Linked DNA regions of Arabidopsis thaliana. The protein of the gene in region 4 interacts with the protein of the main gene of each other region in a pairwise test. Each region holds a gene or a part of one and is shown on either strand. Other genes may lie near its edges. The genes, in order: SPK1, DIS1, BRK1 and WAVE2.

Region 1 (4,555 bases), on a different chromosome or scaffold from region 4:
GGAGATTCCGTATGTCCAACTGATCAAGACAGTTTAAAGAGATTTTAGATATGTATTTCCTCCAGATAAAAGCAGCAATATACAGTAAGATGTTATATCAATAAAAAGCATTCCAGTTATTTGTCTGATGACGTTACCAAACACGATTCAGATCTGAATTTTTTTGTGTGAGTAAAAGAAGAGAGAGCTCGGAAATCTTGTTTTCTTGTGATGTATTTAGTAATATACTTATAACTAACTACACTTCAGAAGGGAAAACAGAAATGAAGAACTTCTATTCCTCAAAACTTATGAATTAAACACCATGACCTAATTGTCAAATGCTACCAAAATTGATTCATTCAAATAGAAAACAAAAAAAAACTGTTATCAATTAAATACAGAAGTATTTTGTCAATCGACTGTGCATGCAACTCTACTTGCTTAGATACATATCCAGTTCAGGAAAACCCAACCAAAGTGTACCTAGCAAGTAGGATTTTCAAATTGAACAAAATCTATGAAAAATGTTCCACACCATGTGAAGTTCAAAGCACTGTAAATACAATCATAAAGAACATGGTAAAAACTGTGGGATTTGATAAGAAACATCCTACCTGAATGGACTCTTCAGAGTAGCTCTCTTTAACTTTATTTAAATTAGATATTTCAACTACGACAGAACTTCCACCTGAATAACCTTGCTTTCCATCTGATGTGATCTTTGCAATTGGTTCATAAACACCATCATGGGAACTTGACGCAGTCATACTAGGAGCAAGAGGACTGCTAGGGGAAGCAGATTCACCAGTGTTTGTGGTGAGATTATTATCAAAAAGCGGAACAACTGCCCAAGCAAAAGACTCTCGGTAAGGCATAATGCGAGACCAGACCTGCAACTTTTGCTTTTCCCTCTCAGTTAAGTGCACCTGATTCACATAAATAGGGTAATTACTAATTGTTATATCAAGATCCAGCTATCACCATGACTACTCTAAAATATATATCAAAACAAAGAGTAAAGACAGATGATATATGCCATTATAAGTCACAGGCTATCTCCAAGTTACTCCAAATAAATGTTGAAAGACACAATCTCTAAGACCAAGGCATTCACATGAGCAAGAGACTCTAGAGACAGTAAGGGAAAATTCAGGATTTTGGAAATTACAGGCTCTTTACGGGAATAGACAGATGATGTAACGCCTCCTTCCTCAGTTGCTGTTTTTTCTAATTGAATAAGCAGGCAAACTGATGCTGATGGGGCATCTAGATAAAATACTCCACGATTTTCAGATGAAAGTTTAGCCTGCAAGAAAATGTACAAGGGGCGGCAATTTCGCAAAAATGACGTGAGAAAAAACTGAAATCACCTTTTATATAATCATGAGAAGGGAAGAGGCAAAAAGAGGACAGTTGGCTCTAATCAGTTACTTACATCCTGCATTTCCGTCGGCTGAATCTGGAAATAAAAATCCTCAGAGAGTTTCTCCTTCCTCTCTTGATTGTACAATGCAATCGAGCCAAAAAATGGTTCTGCAGGGATGCAAGAGAAATAAAGAAGGAACTTAAAGAAGTTGAAATAACTAAAATTACAGAAAATAGACAGCAGTTAGTCAGAATCCTCACCAACTAAGCCAGACTGAAAAGCTAGAGACAAAACTCTGACAGAGATCTTCAATCCACTGTGAAGATAATAAAGAGGAACAGAAGTACAAATCAGACAAAGATAATAAGATCAGGTAAAGCATAGTGACATGCAAAAAAAAAAAAACCTGGAATAGCTAGCTGCAGGAGATTCAGGAGTTCTCTGACCAAAAATCATAGCTCTTTCATTTTCCCAGTCAAAAGCTGGTTCATAAGCAGGTAAAGGAGGTTGCCCAAAATGCTGAAAAAAAAAAAAAAAAGCAACACCTTCAAAGTAAGAACCAAAGGATGAGAAATATATAACAGAGCAATGAAGTGAGTAAAAGAAGACACCTTAGAGGATCCAGGATCAGAAAACGGCCTCCCGGAAATACTGGCAACATCCTCCTCAATAGTTGCACTCCTGGCACTAGCAAGACGAATCTCTGAAGAAGCAGAGAGTTAATTGATGTACAATAATTGACAAAAGCAAAAAAAATAAAAATAAACAATGCATCATAGTTACCAGTCTCAGTATCAGTATCAGGTCCTTCAAAAATCTGAGTCTGGAAAGAATCAGGTCGAATATTTTCATAGTGACCGTATTTGTTAACATCTTTAACCCATTCAGTGCCATAACATTGAACCAATTGATTCAAATGTGGCCATTGTTCCAGATTCTCATCAAGCTGAAACAAAAGAGAAGAAACACATTAACGAAAAGAGAGAGAAAACGCGAATAAAGGTTGAGGAGAGTTTAATTACCAAAGGATCGAGCTTAGGGAGAGCAAGAGGCTGACGAGGTAGCTTACGAAATCGAAGACCAAGATTGTTGTTCTCCATTGAGATAGATCTAATACAATGTGAGGTACTACTACGCCATTAGAGAGAATTGGGGATTTGTGAAAACCTAGAAATGGGAAAAGGACATTGTTGGAGTAGTAAGTAGATCTGAGTGGGGGAGCTAAAGGAGGAGAGGAGGATGAATCTTTGTCTTTACGCAGAGAGGAAGAGATCCGTGAGAGGAAGCAGTTGGGAGAAAAAGTGAAGATTACTCAAGAGGAAAGCAAAAGTCGAGCTGGAGCTGTAAGTCCAACAAGAGTCCAACTCTACTGTCCCTTTTTTCTTTTTAAATAACAAAAGAGTCAATCATTGGGACGACCAAAGACGATGATACCTCACCTGAACCAACTTAAAGAATTGGAGTAAGTAGTAACCATTTTCACCAAAAGTCATTCCAATTCTCATTATACCAAACAAAATGGAATTAGAAAGTATACGGCTAAAGAATTTAGTTGTCACACTTTATTGAAATTAGGATTGTTGATTTGTTTCTACGGATTCATGTTGAGATAAACCGTAAACGAGTTCATAGTTACCTTTGGTATCTATGAATCGGTGAATCCCAATCTTTAGCCATTGTTTCAGAGTTGTTGCCATTATAGTCTACCATTGCGGCCTTTTTATATATCATTCATGTTAGCATTAGGGTTATAATTTCTAAAAATTGATCACCTCTTTAACTTGTGCCTAGAATGTTAGGCAGACCCAGCCAAAAAATTAAGTGGGTGAAAAAACGTTACACTGGTTAACATAATTATTGGGCTTCGTGGCTTCTCTCTCGTTGACGGAGAACTTAACGGTGTGTGATTCCAAGTCGGATTAGAACCTCCGTTATATATCAATGGGAGTTTTGGCCGCTTGTTGCTGTTGAGTTGTGTTGTCTTTGATTGAAACGACGGCGTATACGTCCATTTTGTCCGTGACATATTCGATATGGTTGACGTCACTAGCTGATACAATTTTGAGCTCAAGAGTTGGGTTCTCCACGGCTCTTTGCAACTGTGATGAAGATATTTTCGAGAGATCTAGTATTGTTTGTTCTAATCTTGGGAAAATGTCCAAGTATACAATGATCTATGAGATTCAAGTTAACCAGTTTCTCATTCACATGAATCTTTCCTTTCTCATGTTAAAACTATCTCGCCATTTGGGTTCCCTGTAAAATATGGTTGTCCGGATTTTACTCCAACTAACAAATTTAGATAGAAAGAAAGAAGAAGCAACAAAATAAAACTAATGCCGAGTAAAAGAATCAATTTGCACACTCCAACAGATAAGATAAACCGAACAAGTTTGCGGATACACAAACATGTGAGGTAATGCTGCTTTCAGAACGTATTTATTAAAAATAAAGAGGAGGGTTGTAATAGAGTAATGGAGAAGAAGATAAGAATCAAGTATGAATGATCTTGTAAAGGGTTTTGGTCTTTCTTCACATCCCTGATCATCCATCCAGCTCACTAGGAGTGTCTGTCACTATAGTGTGAAATACAAAATTTGGAAACGTCTTTGTTACGTCTCTACACAAAACACAACATACAAAAACATGTTAGTCCCGCACGAAGAAGATAATAAGGCAAATAACATGGCTAGCTTACTTGAGATGTTGAAGGCTCATGTTCTGTAACAGAGAGGGGTGGCGCAACACAAGACTCCTCCACTCTTCCTTATCAATCTTCCCGTCCAGTTTAGTATCAGCTTCTTCAAATGTCTACACACACCAATCAGTTTTTACATCTCTTGTCAAAGATTAAATATGAGAATCCTAGTTAGTGTCAATGGAGGAGATCAACCAAACCCACCTTGTCTATGATGCTCTCAATCACATGATCAGAAAGGTTCATGCCAGATTCAGCTAGAGTCCGCACAACCATTTGCTTCACCTCCTGTCTCTTTATATAACCTTGCTGATTCAGATCATACAGCTTGAAAGAGACTGCAGAGACAAAAGATGAGCTTGATCCAAGGTTTGGATATGACAAAAAAAAAGAAGGTCAAGTCTCTCTCGACCACTTACACTCAATCTTATCCTCAAATTTAGCATTAGGGTGAAAGACCGAAAGTGAACGAGCAAAGGCTTCAAAATCTAGAATCCCAGTATTCTTGG
Region 2 (5,622 bases), 5.7 Mb from region 4:
ATCCGACAAACTCCGGAATTGTTTGAACGCCCAGAAACAGAGCTTTAGCGAAAGAGTTTTTGATGAGATCGGAGGAAGAGAGTCGTATTCGTCGAGACTCGGGATGTTCTCTTTCTTATCCGATAGAAGAAGAAAAAATGAAAGAAGAGCTTCACCGTGATGTCAACAGTTTGTCTTAACAAACTTTTTTCTTTTACATGTTTTTTTAGTGCGTTTATACAACAAGCTATAAATGTAATAATGTATTTTGTAGAACATATGAAAGATATATATATATATTTTTTTTTCCCATGAAAGTTTTTTCCTTTATTATTAACAACAGAATATCTTACATTACTCCAAAACCAAAGAGTAATGAAAGATATTTGTTTTGAGTAATTTAAGAAAATGATTTTGTGTATTTTACCCAAAAGAAGGTTTATCTATTCATGTCTAATTTTAAATATTATTAACTAATTTATAAAAAATAAAACACATCATAAAGTAGACAAAACTTAATTATCATGTGTTTCATCTAGAACTTAAGCTCTTGAGTGGAATAAAAGCTTATAAAAAATGATAACTTGACAATTAGACGATTGATAATCCGGAACTTTTCTGTGGAATTTAATGCTTGAGTTAACAGAAAATAATATGAAAAAAAAATCAAACTTCTACATACTTTTTTTCTTTAATTTGTCTGAATAATAATATGACTTCTACATCAAGCCTAGCTTACACTGTGTGTACTCAAGAACCCTAAAGTCAGTAATAGAAATGGAGTAAAGCAGACAAACATTCACAGAATCTGCTGGTGAATTATTTATGAAGCAGCTTCAATACATTCCCTTGAACACCGGATTCGTGCGGCATATGCTTGCTCCATATTCCTCATACTCCTCTTTCGTTCTGCAACTCTGCAACAACAAAAATACATCTTGTTTCAAAACACGATCAAGCCATGAGGTTTAGCTTCAAACTAGCGGATCTCTAAACTAGTTTGCATACCGCGAAAAACTCAGGAGTTGATGAAAGCACAGAGCCTCCAAACCAAACTGCAAACCTCTGGACAGGATGGCTCACGACATTAACCTCCACCGGTTGAGACTGTGGTTATAAATAAATATCACCTCAGATTAAGAAAACTGGTTATCACTTTTATTTTCCAGAATATCATACAATTTTCTTACCGTAATTTCACCACCAGTACGAGCGTTATTAGCAAGAACACGAGCATCAACAATCTTCTTGAGGTCCCTTTGTAACCTTCTTCCGAAATCTTTGAACATAGTTGAACCTCCGGACAACACTATATTCTGAAATGATTTCACAAATTCATCAGTATTGCGGATTGGAAATTATCTTAAAACTCTGACCAGTCTTTGGCGTTTCAAACCTTATATAAAGCTCTTCGTGTGTCAATTGGTGCAGACTGAATACATTTGTCTATCACAGCTGGTAAAGTAGTTGTGAAGTCATTGCTGTATATCTCTGGATTAAAGAACACCTGTAACACACAAAATCTCAACATTACTCATCGGTAATAGCAGAACAAAAACGCAAGAACAATAAAGGAAATTATGTTCCACTTTCCAGTTACTCTCTTGGTATAGAGATACAAAGGAGATTAGCTTCCTATGGGTCCAGTAGTGACAGCTGAATTCTAACTAGATAAGAATTAGTTCCAGACTTCCAGTTAACATAATGGACTAAGTAATTACCTAATTTGAGTTTCTGAGAGAGCATAGTTTTATATCAGTACCGTTCAGTAATCAGAACAGAGTGCTGAAAATATCTTATAATCGATAACAAATCATGAACAGCTCACTGACATACTAGAAACTCATGCACCAGTAAAGATATCCAGTCTCCGATTCTGGTTATCTTATCAACTTACAACTTTTTATAACAGATAGATGGTAACAAACCTCGGGTCCAAGGAATCGTTCATATCCCACGTCGCAAGTGTATGGTGCACCAGTCTTTGGCTTTACACCTTTCCATTGTTTAATATACTTTGCTGGTTCTTTGTCATGTTTATTAAACTCCTGCAACCATATGAATGTTCTTTATCAATATTCCTATATTCTTTTCAAGCGATTTCAGCATACAGGCCAGTAATAAATTTTCAGAAGAGTATATATTAATATTATCTGACTTGAATATTCACCACTAAGGATTACCTTTACGATGTCAGAACAAGTGTAGCAGTACATTTCCTTCACTTTACGGGCTACATCGAATGAATCTTCTGGTGGTATATTCTCACCTCTTTCCTACAGTAAACATTGAAACGAGAAGTTACATGAAGTTAATACATTAATCTAAACCAGTAAACACCCTCTCTAAGCATATGAGCACAACATCTAAAACAAATAAACAGGAAGCCTAGCTACCATACTCAAAGCTTGGATTTAACACATTTAACTTCTGTGCCTTTAAAATCTTAAAATGTCACAGAGAAAGAATGAAAACCAACTACAAAAGAAGACCAAGACTAATATTAAGATAATAAATTAGTGCATACCCGCATGAGTTGCTGGATAAAGAGGGTGACATCTTTGCCAGCAATTGGAATCGATTTGATACAGCTCCCGATGACATAACCTTCTGCAACAGGTACAACATGAGTTGCCCCATCTCCAACATCTACTACAACCCCTGTCATCTCACACTAAGAAGAATTGTAAGTCAAATTAAGAGGCGAGGCGAGCATAACGAGACAGAACAAAAAACAAGAGAACATGTTTAATATTTGCTAAATCCCACAAAGCTCGGAAATTGTCTAATGTTGGTGAGGTTACACTAACCTATTCTTGAGACTCAGTCCCTAAAACCAAAACTGAATAAAGTATAATTATGACTTGATTTAAGGATTCACACAGTCTACAAGCAAACTTAAACAACTAATAGCCTAAATACATATCATTTCATCCCAGCAAACAACTTAAATACATATCATTTCATCACAGCAAGTAGGCTAATACATAGCATTTCATCACAGCAAACAACGTAAATACTTGGAGAAAAGAAATGTGTAACATACCTTTGATGTTGTGTAGCCAGCAGCAAGTGCAAGAACTGAATTAACAGCAATGTAAAGCCCAGGAACATTAAAAGTCTCAAACAAAATTTCTCCAGTATATTCTCGACTTTCAGGAGGAGTAAGAGGACTTTCAGTAAGAAGAAAATAATGATCCTCAGGATCACATCTCAAATAGTTAAATATACACTGCTGCCAATATCTCTCCATAGCATCCCAATCCTCAACTTGACCATGCTCAATTGGATAATGAAGATTATGAGTACTACTAGACCGCGATTTCGCAAGAGCTTCATCTCCAATATAGAAATCGAGATCCGCAGCAACTCCAGCGTTGTGCTGAGTTTGCCAAGTTGCCTTAGAAGAACTCTTGGATTGATTCAAAAACGACTCGTTTACTGCAACTACTGTTGGTAAGATAAAACATGGCTCTACATTACCCGCAAATCCCATTTTAGTATACCTGCAATACACACACACACAAGAATGAATCTAATTGCAGCATTTCATCGAACACGTTAAGCGCATAAACAAATCAAACCTATCATTGAACGTACCCAGTTCCATTGTCGATGACAATAGCGGGTCGAGAAGTCGGATCCATTAGAGAAACTAAGCCGGCGATCTCTAAAGCAAAATCAGCTCACCAGAGGGTGTGAATGGAGATCCAAAACAGTATCCGATTAGAGATCGATTATCTCTACCGTTTAAACACTAGAGAACCCTAGAATTTTCCGATCGAACCTAAGCTTGCTTCTTTCTCGCGCCTTCCGTCAACGGAAGTTGAGTTTCCGACAAGCTACCACGTAATTTCTCGTAGGCTATGAGAAACAATGTAGGGAGAGAGACAATGAGAGAAAATTGATTTTCCCGGAAAATCAGAGATTCACGTGAGATTCAGCGAAACGGTCAGATCATAGAGAAAGTCGCCGTCGTCGACTGGTACTTTATCGTGTGAGATTTTTCCGATAAAAAACAAATGAAGTTATGTACAACTACTGTTTTAAATTTTGGCTTCGTCCTTATGCGCTGTGGTTAATTTGGTTTTCCAACCCGACTCAATAACCAAGTCTGATTTAAAAACCAAACAAATTTCAATAACATTGAATTGAACCATACTGGGCTGATTATCATCATTACAAATTTTGTTTGGATATATAATATACTGTAATCGTCTTTGTAAACAAACCAAATTAACTAGGGACTTTGATAATATAAAAGGTAATCATAACACAAATAATGTTCTGATATATGATATATGATATATGCCTACTGTTAATTGGATTAACTCAATATTAAGATGTGTGTAGTGAAGACAGAAAAACAAACTTATGATAAGGACGCTTGAACCACCGAACAAAACCCATTAAAACTTGAGATTGAAGTCTTGTTACTACTTTACTACACAGTAGTTATCATGAACTATGTTCACACGGTCTCGAAAAATGGAATCATATCAGTCTCAGCCTAATCCTATTGAGTAGATAAGCTTAAATCATCATGCATGTCTCACTCATACCGGTCCGTTTAAATAACAAAATGAAAATGTAGCCCAATGTTTTAGCATTTAAGTGTAAAGTATGACCTGTTTTCAAGGTAATAAAATTTCAAAAGACCCAAACAAAATAATTTTTAGTATAAATATGCCCAAATATATAAATTTTTTTTTTTAACATGAATATAAGGTCCTGAATTTTTATTTTGCCCTAGAGCTTTAAAAATTGTTGGGCTAGGTTAGTCTCCCTTGCAACAGATTTCTTTTTCATATATATTTTTTATAGTCAATGTTAGGTGGTATGTGTAAAACTACAATGCGAATGAATATATATTTTTTTAAATGGCTTGATTGATCTCATTCATCTAACGAATTACTACATTCGTCCAACAAATTACTAAATTCGTTAACGCAGATATGTGATACTCAATTCACTAGTTTTTTCAATTTAATATTCGCCGTTTACGAATTTGTTGGCTATCGTTTTTAGATCAGTCACATTGCTGTAAGCATCTCTTGCCGACATGTTTTCCAGACGACTCATTGTTGATCTACCAACGTTCTTCAAAGCTCTAAAGAATGCACTATTTTTTTCACTTTAGCAAAAAATAAAAATAAAATATAAAGATGTAACCGTAAAGAAAAAATATTACAAAGCGCATTTTGTACAAATTTTATTGATAAAGGACGATCTAAATATATTTTTAAGATTCTACAAGTTTTTTTACTTATAAATACTCATCAATGTATTAGCAGTATTATATTCGAACTATCAAAACAAATATTTGTTTATTGTTTTAGTTTTTTTTTTTAAACAATGATTTTTTTTCATGATCATGTCAAGTTTATTGATTAAAGAGATTTGGGGGTAAATGAGGTGTAATCATAATGAAATATACAATACTCATGTTTTAATATTCAATATGGTTAAGATTGTTTAATTCAGATAAATTGAACTGTATCATCAAGAACAAAATGAATTTTTTAAAATTCAATTTGAAGGAAAAATCAAATACCACCTAACCGATTGCATTGAAAAGAGAAAAAAAACTATATTTGATATAAAAAACCGTTGACAAAACAACCATATTCGAAGCAAAATCAA
Region 3 (3,491 bases), on a different chromosome or scaffold from region 4:
TGGTCAGTTTTGCAACTTCTGGGTATTTTCAGGGCTCGGATCAAGGGGACTACTCTATCATGCTTGGCTTGGGAAACTCATGTCTAAAGCTGTTTTAAGTTGCAATGAAGAATTACTTCCTTCTGAACTAACTTCTTGGAAGAAAAACAGACAATAAGAGTACCATTGTTTACTTCTCAGTTCTCACTCTTGTTTGCAGCTTCAAGCTTGGAAGCTTGGTCAACACAGCAAATCTCAATTCAGACAAAACAAAAACTGAGTTCAGAATATTTTTTTAAAAATGGTCAATCATCCATAGTCTACAGAACTTTGTGGTTTAGGTACGTAAAACAGAATATTTTCAACAATGGCTTGGTTCTATGGTTGGTCCGCGACCCCTGGATATCGTAGGCATCCGTGGGGTGATCTCATAGTACGTACGGGTGGAGACGATTAGGTCGGTCTCGATGAATCCGAGTGGAACTCAAAAAAACAATGTGAGTCACAAATGCAGACAGAATCTAATGGAGGAAAAGAGATGTGAGCTTTTTCGGTTTTTTCTTCCTCCATTGATGAAAAAGAAAAAATGGGCAACAAGAGCGTTTTACATGTGTTCCACTTTAAGAGAAAAGACGAATATACAAATCCGATGCATAGAAGATGAAAAGGGTACCTCTGCAAAGTTTATAAATCAACAGCAGAAGAAAGCAAAAACTTCAAGAGTTCAACGAAATGACTTGTCATTCAAAAGAGATCTTAATGGACAGAAAAAAGATACACATATTTATGAATAGATTCATATTTTAAGCTACTAGTTTACTTACTACCACAGCTATGTGAAGAAAGAAAGAATCATTCAATGGTACACATTCAACAACAGACTTCTTCTGTTAAAGCCAAAGGATCAGGCTCGGTTTCGATTTCGATATCGTCTACGGTGTTTCACGTCGCAAACAGAGAAGGATTTGCTGTCGCGGTACTTACTTGCACCTCCAGCATTTCCAAGCGACGTTCCAACAGATCCAACTTCTCATTCAAAGAAGCCAACTTGCTCTTTGTGGTTGATTCTGAAACACACAGAGAAATTACAAACTCACAGACATCAATGACTTCGATAATCAAATTAGCTCATAAAAGAAAGTTTCATCACACACAACATTGTCTAAAACCAGCTAGAATTGAAGCTGAGAAGATCAAAGAGATCATTACAAAGATCTCTCTTAGCACATGGATCTAAGACCATACAAATGCAAATGAAATCTGATCATCTCAACAATTAAAAAGGTGAAATTTTTCACTAACCAACCACCAAAATCAAATCTCCCAATCATCAAAAACCTTACTTTGACAAAAACTCTAAAACAAAGTTTCTAAATTTAGCAAATACGAAATCGAGAAAACTCCAAAATTAGTCAATTGAATTCAAAACCCAACACAGAGAAATAAGTGAGAGAGTGAGGTTTACCAAATTGAACAAGGAATTCGAAGAGACGACGAACATTAAGAGAGATATGTGAGATAAATTCTCGATTCTCCCAATCTGCTTGAACAGCGATTCCTACGTTTACTGCGTTCGTGATCCCTCCAGCTTTCGCCATTATTAAACCCCAAAACTCTCTCTTCCACAAACACAACAGTACTCACAGATTTCGATTTCAAATTCTGAAGCTTTTTAAATAATTCGCCCTTTTTCGATTCAATCCAACGGCAGAAATGATTAAGCAATCGATTAGAGAAGGAGGGTCACCTTCCTTTTTTGGTGTCTCAGAGAAAAAGTTTCTGAATTTTATCGTAGGTTGTTTTTCTTTTAGATGATGTGTGATTGATGAAGAAGAAGTTAAGATTAGAAGAAGAAACGGGTGTTTTATGAGATAAAGAGGAAATATAGGGGCTATTTTATAATTTAAGATATTTGATATTATGTGGTTTGGTTTAATATTTTGGTAGATTGCTTAGTTAGTGTTCAATCTTTTTCGTTCTATTCAAATGTCACTATCAATTAAAAATTGAGCAATTCTTGGTTCTTCGTGCATATATACTATTACAACCAATCTTTAATCTTTGAATTCAAGATACGTTTGTTTTAAAGTCAAGTGAATTATTCGGTATGCTCATTGGTTGTAACTTGTATAACTATTTATAGGTTGTATCTATAATATTTACAAAACAGAACACATATTTCATCATACTAGAATAATTTTAAGTTGTGATTATTTCTGATGAGGCATAACTCATTGTCTATACAACAAATCAAATTTTGAATGGTTGTTCAATTAGCAGTAAACCGGACTAATTATATCAATATTTTTGTAGGTTAAAAGTGGATTACAGTATGCAAAATATTGGACAATAGTATATAATAGAGTGAACTGTGTTTACAATCAAATTTAAGCGCTAAATCAAAATCACTAAATTAATTTATTCAAACCGAGAAACTTATAACCCTCTACTTTTGGACTAAAATTTTGAATCACATAAAATCCTATATTGTACGACCGGTGAAAATTTACATCCCAAGGAAATTAGGGTTTATTTTTCTTCTCCTAGCTCCTCTTAGTTTGATTTCACATCTGAGATTTTTTTTACTTCGTTTTTGTTATTTTAATACGACCAAAAACATAATCTTTTCAGAGATATGTTAAACAATGCAGTTTTCATATGTTGGTCATGGTCATGTAACTTCGTTAATTTCTAGGCTGACTTTTTGCATCGTTTTACCTGAAACGACAATATATAGTATACTCTTTTTGTTTTGCAAATTTTCTCTAAACTATAGAAGCAATCATCTCAAATGAATCTCCCTTTATTAAAAATCTCAATGACTAACAAAAACAAACACACACACACAAAAGTGAGCTCTGATTTTACTTTAGGTAAAGTATAGCTTATATACTAAACCAACCTATATCACACTCAATTTTTTTAGTTAAAATATATATTATATATGTAGTTCATGTATGTCTTAATTATGTACTTAAAACCAAATGTGAAAGCTAAAAAGAATATAATCGAGAAGCTGTTCCATTGCTTTCACTTGAGACCATATATAAGTATATATCGTACAAATCAAACCTTTGGTTTGCTCTCCGACATGATTACACTCACACTTACTCCTGCATGAAAACATATATATTGACATAGTCAAACGAGTCTTCATATATAATATGCACGTATATATATTTGAAAGGGTTTTGAGATAATCAAGAACGAACAATTTGTTATATATCTCTTATATGATCTTAGCTGTTTGAAGATGTCTTATAATGGGACTGCTCAGGCTGGCTTAGCTGCAGCCTAACCTGTGCATGGGATTCATAAACTGCATCTACTAGCTCATGATGTCCCAATCCATTTGTGTTCGACGTTCCATAAGCCTGTATGCAAGACCATTACCACAACACACTTTTGTAACTACGTACGATCTCAATAATTAATTATTGAGATTTGTCTAGTTTCAACTAGGAGATTAATTTGATTTAAAGGATTTGTTAGCTGCAACTTGAAGTAATGAA
Region 4 (7,214 bases):
TCTCTTCTCTTGTCAACTTGAACAAAACCACTTGGAAGATGATTTTCCGTGTTCTATATGCTTAATGACATTACTGCTTCTTGATTTCCTCTTGTTTTTAACCCAAATTGGTCTCTCCCCAAAGTATAATCTTCTGGGTCTTTTTCTTGTAAAATTTGGCATGCTCCAAGATCTATATTAGTAGCTATCTCTTTTTTTTTTGGTTTTTGGTGGTTGTTTGCCTTGTTCACTCCTCCATATATAGTAACTCTTAAACTGTCGAAACATTACCGTATAACATGTTTGTTTGTAGTGATTATTTTAATCGATGTTAATATGCATCAGTTGCAAAAAAATGATATTAATTTTGCATCATTGAATATAAGTGATTTATTATTTGTATCAATTTATCAAAATAACGTTAATATTTGCAACATTTATAATAAATAATTTTAAGTGTTTATATTAATTATAATAACTTATAAAATAATACTAAATTAGTTTTTATGAAACAAATATCTTTATTAATTAATATTAAGCGAACACTTAAATTTAGTTGGGATAGTAACTTTACACTTTTTGGACACCATCTAAAACCAGAATTATGTAACTTTACATATATAAAAAAATTATGGAGGTTTTTTTTTCCTTCTGTGGGAGATATGTGGTATGTAAACAAATTGAATAAACAATTATATCAGTTAGTGCAACTGATGCTAAATCTGTAATTAGCATCGGTTATTATTGATTTAAATTTTGTATCACTTTCTAAATGATTAAAATTCACATATTTGTATTAATATTGTGAAAGTGAGGCAAATAGACCTAGATTTGCATTAATTTTAATGAACTGATGTCACACAAACTAATACGACATCAGTTATTGCAATTGATGTTAAATTATAATTTTTGTATCGATTGTAAATAAGTAATTCAAATTAGTATTTTTTAAATTTTTGTTGCAAGTTAATTGATACAACTAACCTTTTTTGTAGTGAGATTCTTGAGACATAATATCCCTGCCTCTTCTTCTTCTTCAATTGTTGGGGTTGTTCTCCCAATCATAAACATTCTGGTGGATGTAAACATAAAGAGCAAGTGATTTTAACTCTTGTATAGAAAACTAGGAGTCTTGAATGCATTGGAGAAACCACTTTGCATCGGATATGCTTAACTAATTTACCTAGTTCCAAGAATTATAAATGTGGAATTCCACGATTACAATTAAAAATTGTCTACATTTATTGTATCATACTAGAACGTACTATTTGTAATATGTCCATCTCACTCGTTGGACTTTGTTTCAACATGTAACCAACCCAACAATTTTATTTATTGACAAACAAACAAATCCTTACTCAAATAACTACAAAACTTGACGAAACATTTATTTGACATTGACATTCTCTCACTTTTTTTCCGAAAACCACTTCATTTTTAAATTACAAAATCGAACATTTATTCTGTAATCAAAATTAGAATTTAATGTTCATATCGTGCGAACCAATAACCTTTCTTTGAACCAAAAATAAAAATAAAATCCTTCTTTTCTCAAAACCCCATCACGTAATAACACACAAAATACAAGGGTAATTTGGTCTTTCTACTTTTCTGTAAACCCCCCACTGGTAAATGAAATTGGAAAGGAATGGCTTGCGATATTGGCAATGTCAATGTCTCTCTCTCTCACAGTCTCTTTCCCTCTCTGCCTCCAAAATTTCCCTCTCTGTTTTTGAGCAGTTAAGCTGCCTCATCAATCTCACTCACCAGAAACCCATCAACAATCATTAACCTTTTTCTCGTTTTCATCAAAACCCATTTTCTCAATTTCTTCAAAAAAAAACCTTTTGATTCTTTCTCCTAATCCTTTTCCCAGCTCTCTTAATGCTTTAGCCACAAAACTTTTTGTATCTCAATGTGTGACAGTTTTGTACCTTTTAAGAGAAAAAATGCCACGGAATGTATACGGTATGAACCAAAGCGAGGTGTATAGAAATGTCGATCGTGAAGACCCTAAAGCAATTCTCAATGGTGTTGCAGTTACTGGACTTGTTGGGGTCTTGCGTCAGCTTGGTGATCTCGCTGAGTAAGTATTCAATTCGAGCTAATGTTGCGTCTCTTTTGGGTATCTCTACTGTTGAATGATTCTTTGAGCTAGTGGTGAAGTTAAAGATGAGAATCATTACTTTGTGTGAAAGTAATTGCCTTTACTTGTTTAAGGTAATCTAATTGGTGTTTGTAGCTACAAATTTGGGAACCCATTTTGATTGCATGATCCTTTGAAGTTTTTGAGTTAAGCTTTAGCAAAAAGGAAGAAGCTTTATTCATTTATGATTCTATGATTGTTGTGATGTTTCTATCAATCATTCTCCATTTTTGCTGTGTTTAGTTTTGTTTCATGAGCTTAGTTTATGTTTCTTAGCAACTCCTTATGTGGTGACTCTTTATGTCGGCTCTGATATCAAGCTTAGTTTGGGTTTGGAGTGATCTCTGGTTGATAAGGGTCATTTTAGCACAAAGGAAGAAACTTTCTTATCGATTGCTTTTTCTCTTGATTAAGGTTTGCAGCAGAGATATTTCATGGGATACAGGAGGAAGTTATGGCTACAGCTTCAAGAAGCAATCAGTTAAAGATTAGATTGCAGCATATAGAAGCTACAGTGCCTCCACTAGAAAAGGCGATGCTTGCACAAACAACTCATATACATTTTGCATACACAGGAGGTTTGTTTTGTCTTCTTCCCTCTTGTCAATCTTCTTATTGTCTTGACCCAAGGTGTCTGATTCTTGTTAGGTTTCACATTAATTCTTTTAATAAATTATGTCACATCCTTAGTTCATTGTAGGCCTTCACATGCTTTTTCACTTACCCTAAAACTAAAACTTTCTCTGACGAGGCTAGTTTAGAATCTGGAATGATTGAGAAACTAAATCATTGTATCTTCTGCAAAACCTTAAAATAGATTAACTTAAAATTGAATTGATAGTATTAGTTGTTTGGTTCCCCTTGGCAAACTTTTATTTATTGTATTGAAACCGTGGAAGTAATGGGTGGTGAGAAAGTGGTCATGCTTGTATTTTTCTTACTTTATATCTTGTGAACTGAAGGAGTTTAATGGGGTTCAGGTCTGGAGTGGCATCCTCGTATCCCAATTACGCAAAATCACTTAATTTATGACGACTTGCCTCACATTATTATGGATCCCTATGAAGAATGCAGGGGTCCTCCACGGTTACACTTGCTTGATAAGTATGCCTCAAGCTAAAATATTTATATCTGATATGTATGTACTATGTACTATAATCCATCATGTTATACTGATTCTTTGCTTTATTTTCTCAGATTTGATATAAATGGTCCTGGATCTTGCTTGAAGCGATACTCAGATCCTACTTATTTCAGAAGAGCATCAAGCAACCTGAGTCAAGGAAACAAGAAGTTCCAAAAAGATAAAAAGCATTGTAAAATGAAGGTGTGGTTCTCAGATTAAATTGGTAAACCATTTTCTGTAGAATTCTCTTTTACTTGACACATATATATCTGTTTTCTGGCATGGACAGAAGAAAAAAACTTCGTCAAGGAGTCGAGATATGTCACGTTTGGCCTCCTTGGCTAACCAGAATGCCAGGTAAATTATAGATATTGTTGGCATATTTAAGTTTCCGTGCACCTAAAGAATAATTAACTCAGACATAGTTCACTCCAGGAAGACATTTGCTTCATTTAGCTTCAGTGGACAAACCTCTTCTACCAAAACCACCTCAACCAGTGACATGGAAAAAAGATATGATTTTCAAGATCATCATTCTCGCTCTTTTGAGTCCAGAAGTGGTTCAGGCTACAATGAATGCCTTTCAACTGCAACTTCTTCACTGAAGACTGGAGAAAGACCGAAAGGGGTGTTCGTTTCATCCAGCTTGACACCAGGCTCTTGCACTATTGCTTCAGTCCTTTCTGAATGTGAAACCGAAGATGCTCATGATAATTTCCAGTTTAGTCCTTCTCAAGGGCAAGCTGCTCGTGGCTCTTCTTGCGTTAGTTGGGATGAGAAAGCAGAGATAGTGGAATCTCTTGGTCTGCAGACAGATGAAGCTTCTGAAATGGTGGAGGCGAACTCTGTTGTAGATACTCTAGATGAGAAACCAAGCTATGGGGAAGGGATAGGTGGAGTTGATTTCCATTCTAAGGACAATGAAAATGATAAATCAGAATCAGGACTACGAAAACGTGCTGGGATTGATGAGGTAAGAGAGATAAAAAATGGTCGGGAGATTGTGGGAGAACCGAGGGATAGTGAACAAGAGACTGAAAGCGAAGGGGAGTGTTTTGTTGATGCGCTTAATACTATCGAATCAGAATCTGAAAACAATCAAGGGCTTCAAACTAGTCAAGTGAGCAGTTCCTGTGGTGTTGCAGATGAGAGGTTGGAAAAGTCAGTGTGTGAGCAAGAAACAGAGCAGAATTCCTACAGTGTCGAAGATTCTTGCAGATCAATGGATGGGCTTATGGCCAACAGTTTTAAAAATGAAGAGAATGCATCGTCAGAAAATGTATCTGTTGAAATGCATCAACAAAATCTACAGGCGGGTTCAGATATCAACCGCTTACAAAAAAATGATCTTTGTGCAAACAAGGATATGCGTAATGATTCTGGTGGAAAAGATACCATCACATTTACATTTGTGCCAGGTCTCGAGAACAGCTTAGTTGATTCATCAAACCCCTTGATTCATCATGGCCTACAGGAAAATCAAGAAACAGAAGCTGAATCTTCTGGGGATCTCGAAGCCTTTAAAATATGGACTAATGGTGGTCTATTGGGACTGAAACCATCGAAACCTCCAGTCTTGGCAATGCCAAGTTCTTTAAGTCCAGATTGCAAGACCGAGGAAAGGACAGTTGGTTTTGCAGAAGCTGAAAAAGATAAAGCAGATGATCTAGTTGAAAATGCTTCACATAGACATGTTCTGAATAATTCAAGCTTAGCAACGCCAGGAACCCAAAATCCAGGTAGTTCAAATGGCATAGTCATGGGTATTGTAGACCAAAGAGAGTCCCATGAGACTTCTTCTGGAGTTTTTGGACTCAGCCACAAGTTTCTTACTAGTGGTTTCCGCAGAAAGGATTCATTTGCACATGATAGAAAGACTGTACCAGCAACGATTCCAGAGAACGATGAAGTGACTACAGAGAGGAGGAGGTTTTGTGACCAAGATATTAATGAGAAAACCTTTATGGACCCCTTCAGAGACGAAGCTCCTATTGATTGGATCACTTCGTCTCCGCCTCTTCAACACATGAAAATATCTCTCAATCCCGCTGACACTCTTCAGGCTTCGAGACTGAAGCTTAAATTTTCAGATGGAGACAACACTTACAATACCTTTTCCTCCTTCCAGTTGCTTCCAGAGACTGGAACTTCCCTTCCTGATTCTTATTCTGACGACGACACTTTTTGTAGATCATCTCCTTACATGTCAGATACCGATTATCTTAGCGATAATCACTCCTTGTCAAATTCTGAGCCGTGGGAAGAATCCAGTGACAGCCATGGAAGAAAAGAGCAAGAACTATATGATTCTTTCCACGAAAGTAGGCATGTTGATAACAATGCTGAAGCTTCCCCTCTAGGGATCAAATCAGAAAGTTCTTGCGTCGCCGTAAACCTCTCATATCTCCAAAATCCTGCTGAGCCCTTACCACCGCCATTTCCACCCATGCAATGGATGGTTTCAAAGACACCTTCAGAGAAAATGGAAGACAAAACACAGTCCCTACAACTACAAGAAGCTCTCAGGTTTGCGTTTGAGAAGCATATTTCATTGCCTACAGCTAAGAACGAACTGCCTAGCATGGTGACTTCTGCTCCTAAACCAGAAATTAAGGTATGGAGAAGATTTTGACTCTTTCTTCCTACTTTTCTACAGTGTGGGTCAGTTCCATATATTCCAGATGATCGTTTTCAATATAGTTCAAATTACGAATCTTAACAAGCATATGTTCTCATAGGCCCATCTGAAGAATAATGTCAGGGAGGAGAAACAAAGTGCCAACGCAAAGGAGACTGAAACTGGAGACTTCTTGCAACAAATCCGAACACAAGTGAGTGCAAATAGTTCCTTTTTGTGAAAGAAAGTTATATTCTGATGCTTGATTTGTTATATCATCTTTTGCTACATTCTTGGTTTCTTTCAAATCAAAGCAATTCAACCTTAGGCCTGTGGTCATGACAACGACATCATCGGCTACTGCAACAACTGACCCTATCATAAACACTAAGATCAGCGCGATTTTGGAGAAAGCAAACTCAATACGCCAGGTTCATCCTCTAACTTCTGCATCTATATATATCCAAAGCAAATCTAATCTTTATTTCAGAATCTAAGTACTTTTTGTCTTAAATCCAACACAACATTATCTATCACTCACTCTTTTCTTCTTTTCAGGCTGTAGCTAGCAAAGATGGAGATGAAAGCGATACATGGAGTGATACGTAAAAGCCCTTTATCAGATTCCATTTCATCTTTGTAATCTACTCTCTGAACGACATAAATGGAGAAAAGGGGTTCAAGCTAGTCCTGCAAGAATTTTTTGTATTTTGTATCATATCTAATGTGTGGATTTGTGTAGGTGATAGTAAATTTTGTCGAGTGTGATCTGTATCTTCAAGAAAATAAAGTAGTGCAAGAAATAAAAATGAAAGTAAAATCTATAATGCCCATTCATCTTAAGGAAAACTTTCTAGAACTTGGGATTTTAGCCACGAGCTTGCTACAAAAAAAATTCATGACCATAAAGAGCTAAACTTAAATTAGTCATGGACTTTTATCCTAGAGCAACTAAGAAGAATCCATGGTCATAGTTTTTTTTTTTTGTAGTACCACTAAATTTTATAAACAAGATCAACATTTGACTTGATATTACCATCAAAGCAAGTCGGCAATAGCAACATTGAACGACAAAACAAAGTAATGATTCACGTTTACGGTTATTCGATATATTTCAAGTTACGAATGAGAAGCATATGTTCTCATAGACCCATCTTAAGAATATTGTCAGGGAGGATAAACAAAATGCCAATGAAAAGGAGACCAAAACTGGAGACTTGTTGCATCAAATCCAAACACAAGTCAGTGTAATCGATTCTTCTCATGAAAAAAAAAAGTATTTGGATTCTTGATGTTATATCATCTTTAATTGCATTCTTGATTTCTTCCATAGCATAAATATTAAT

The links.
Region 1: the proteins of WAVE2 (region 4) and SPK1 interact in a two-hybrid assay, tested with the Arabidopsis thaliana proteins (one study listed by BioGRID).
Region 2: the proteins of WAVE2 (region 4) and DIS1 interact in a two-hybrid assay, tested with the Arabidopsis thaliana proteins (one study listed by BioGRID).
Region 3: the proteins of WAVE2 (region 4) and BRK1 interact in binary tests that used the Arabidopsis thaliana proteins (3 or more experiments, as listed by UniProt).

The regions. Positions count from the first base shown.
Region 1 is NC_003075.7:9,238,613-9,243,167, forward strand, and holds the start of SPK1 (guanyl-nucleotide exchange factors;GTPase binding;GTP binding protein), read right to left. Parts: upstream 3,018-4,555; 5' UTR 2,985-3,017; intron 2,788-2,984; 5' UTR 2,449-2,787; coding exon 2,371-2,448; intron 2,295-2,370; coding exon 2,132-2,294; intron 2,052-2,131; coding exon 1,960-2,051; intron 1,868-1,959; coding exon 1,755-1,867; intron 1,665-1,754; coding exon 1,609-1,664; intron 1,516-1,608; coding exon 1,418-1,515; intron 1,289-1,417; coding exon 1,151-1,288; intron 909-1,150; coding exon 597-908; intron 1-596. Other genes in the region: CBL6 (calcineurin B-like protein 6), read right to left, coding at 3,893-3,968, 4,047-4,159, 4,251-4,384, 4,466-4,555. UniProt on the Arabidopsis thaliana protein: Guanine nucleotide exchange factor (GEF) for Rho and Rac. GEF proteins activate small GTPases by exchanging bound GDP for free GTP. Controls actin polymerization via the two heteromeric complexes WAVE and actin-related protein (ARP) 2/3.
Region 2 is NC_003070.9:4,493,398-4,499,019, reverse strand, and holds DIS1 (Actin-like ATPase superfamily protein), read right to left. Parts: upstream 4,097-5,622; 5' UTR 3,627-4,096; coding exon 3,580-3,626; intron 3,486-3,579; coding exon 3,026-3,485; intron 2,654-3,025; coding exon 2,507-2,653; intron 2,256-2,506; coding exon 2,163-2,255; intron 2,028-2,162; coding exon 1,908-2,027; intron 1,487-1,907; coding exon 1,376-1,486; intron 1,296-1,375; coding exon 1,170-1,295; intron 1,087-1,169; coding exon 988-1,086; intron 897-987; coding exon 816-896; 3' UTR 551-815; downstream 1-550.
Region 3 is NC_003071.7:9,621,369-9,624,859, reverse strand, and holds BRK1 (BRICK1), read right to left. Parts: upstream 1,864-3,491; 5' UTR 1,578-1,863; coding exon 1,445-1,577; intron 1,047-1,444; coding exon 922-1,046; 3' UTR 525-921; downstream 1-524. Other genes in the region: AT2G22650 (FAD-dependent oxidoreductase family protein), read left to right, coding at 1-157; AGL17 (AGAMOUS-like 17), read right to left, coding at 3,219-3,353. UniProt on the Arabidopsis thaliana protein: Involved in regulation of actin and microtubule organization. Part of a WAVE complex that activates the Arp2/3 complex.
Region 4 is NC_003070.9:10,189,615-10,196,828, reverse strand, and holds WAVE2 (SCAR family protein), read left to right. Parts: upstream 1-1,615; 5' UTR 1,616-1,928; coding exon 1,929-2,065; intron 2,066-2,539; coding exon 2,540-2,703; intron 2,704-3,105; coding exon 3,106-3,229; intron 3,230-3,322; coding exon 3,323-3,452; intron 3,453-3,540; coding exon 3,541-3,608; intron 3,609-3,686; coding exon 3,687-5,865; intron 5,866-5,989; coding exon 5,990-6,082; coding exon of another isoform or gene 6,083-6,109; exon of another isoform or gene 6,110-6,182; coding exon 6,183-6,299; intron 6,300-6,426; coding exon 6,427-6,477; 3' UTR 6,478-6,692; downstream 6,693-7,214. UniProt on the Arabidopsis thaliana protein: Involved in regulation of actin and microtubule organization. Part of a WAVE complex that activates the Arp2/3 complex. Regulates trichome branch positioning and expansion.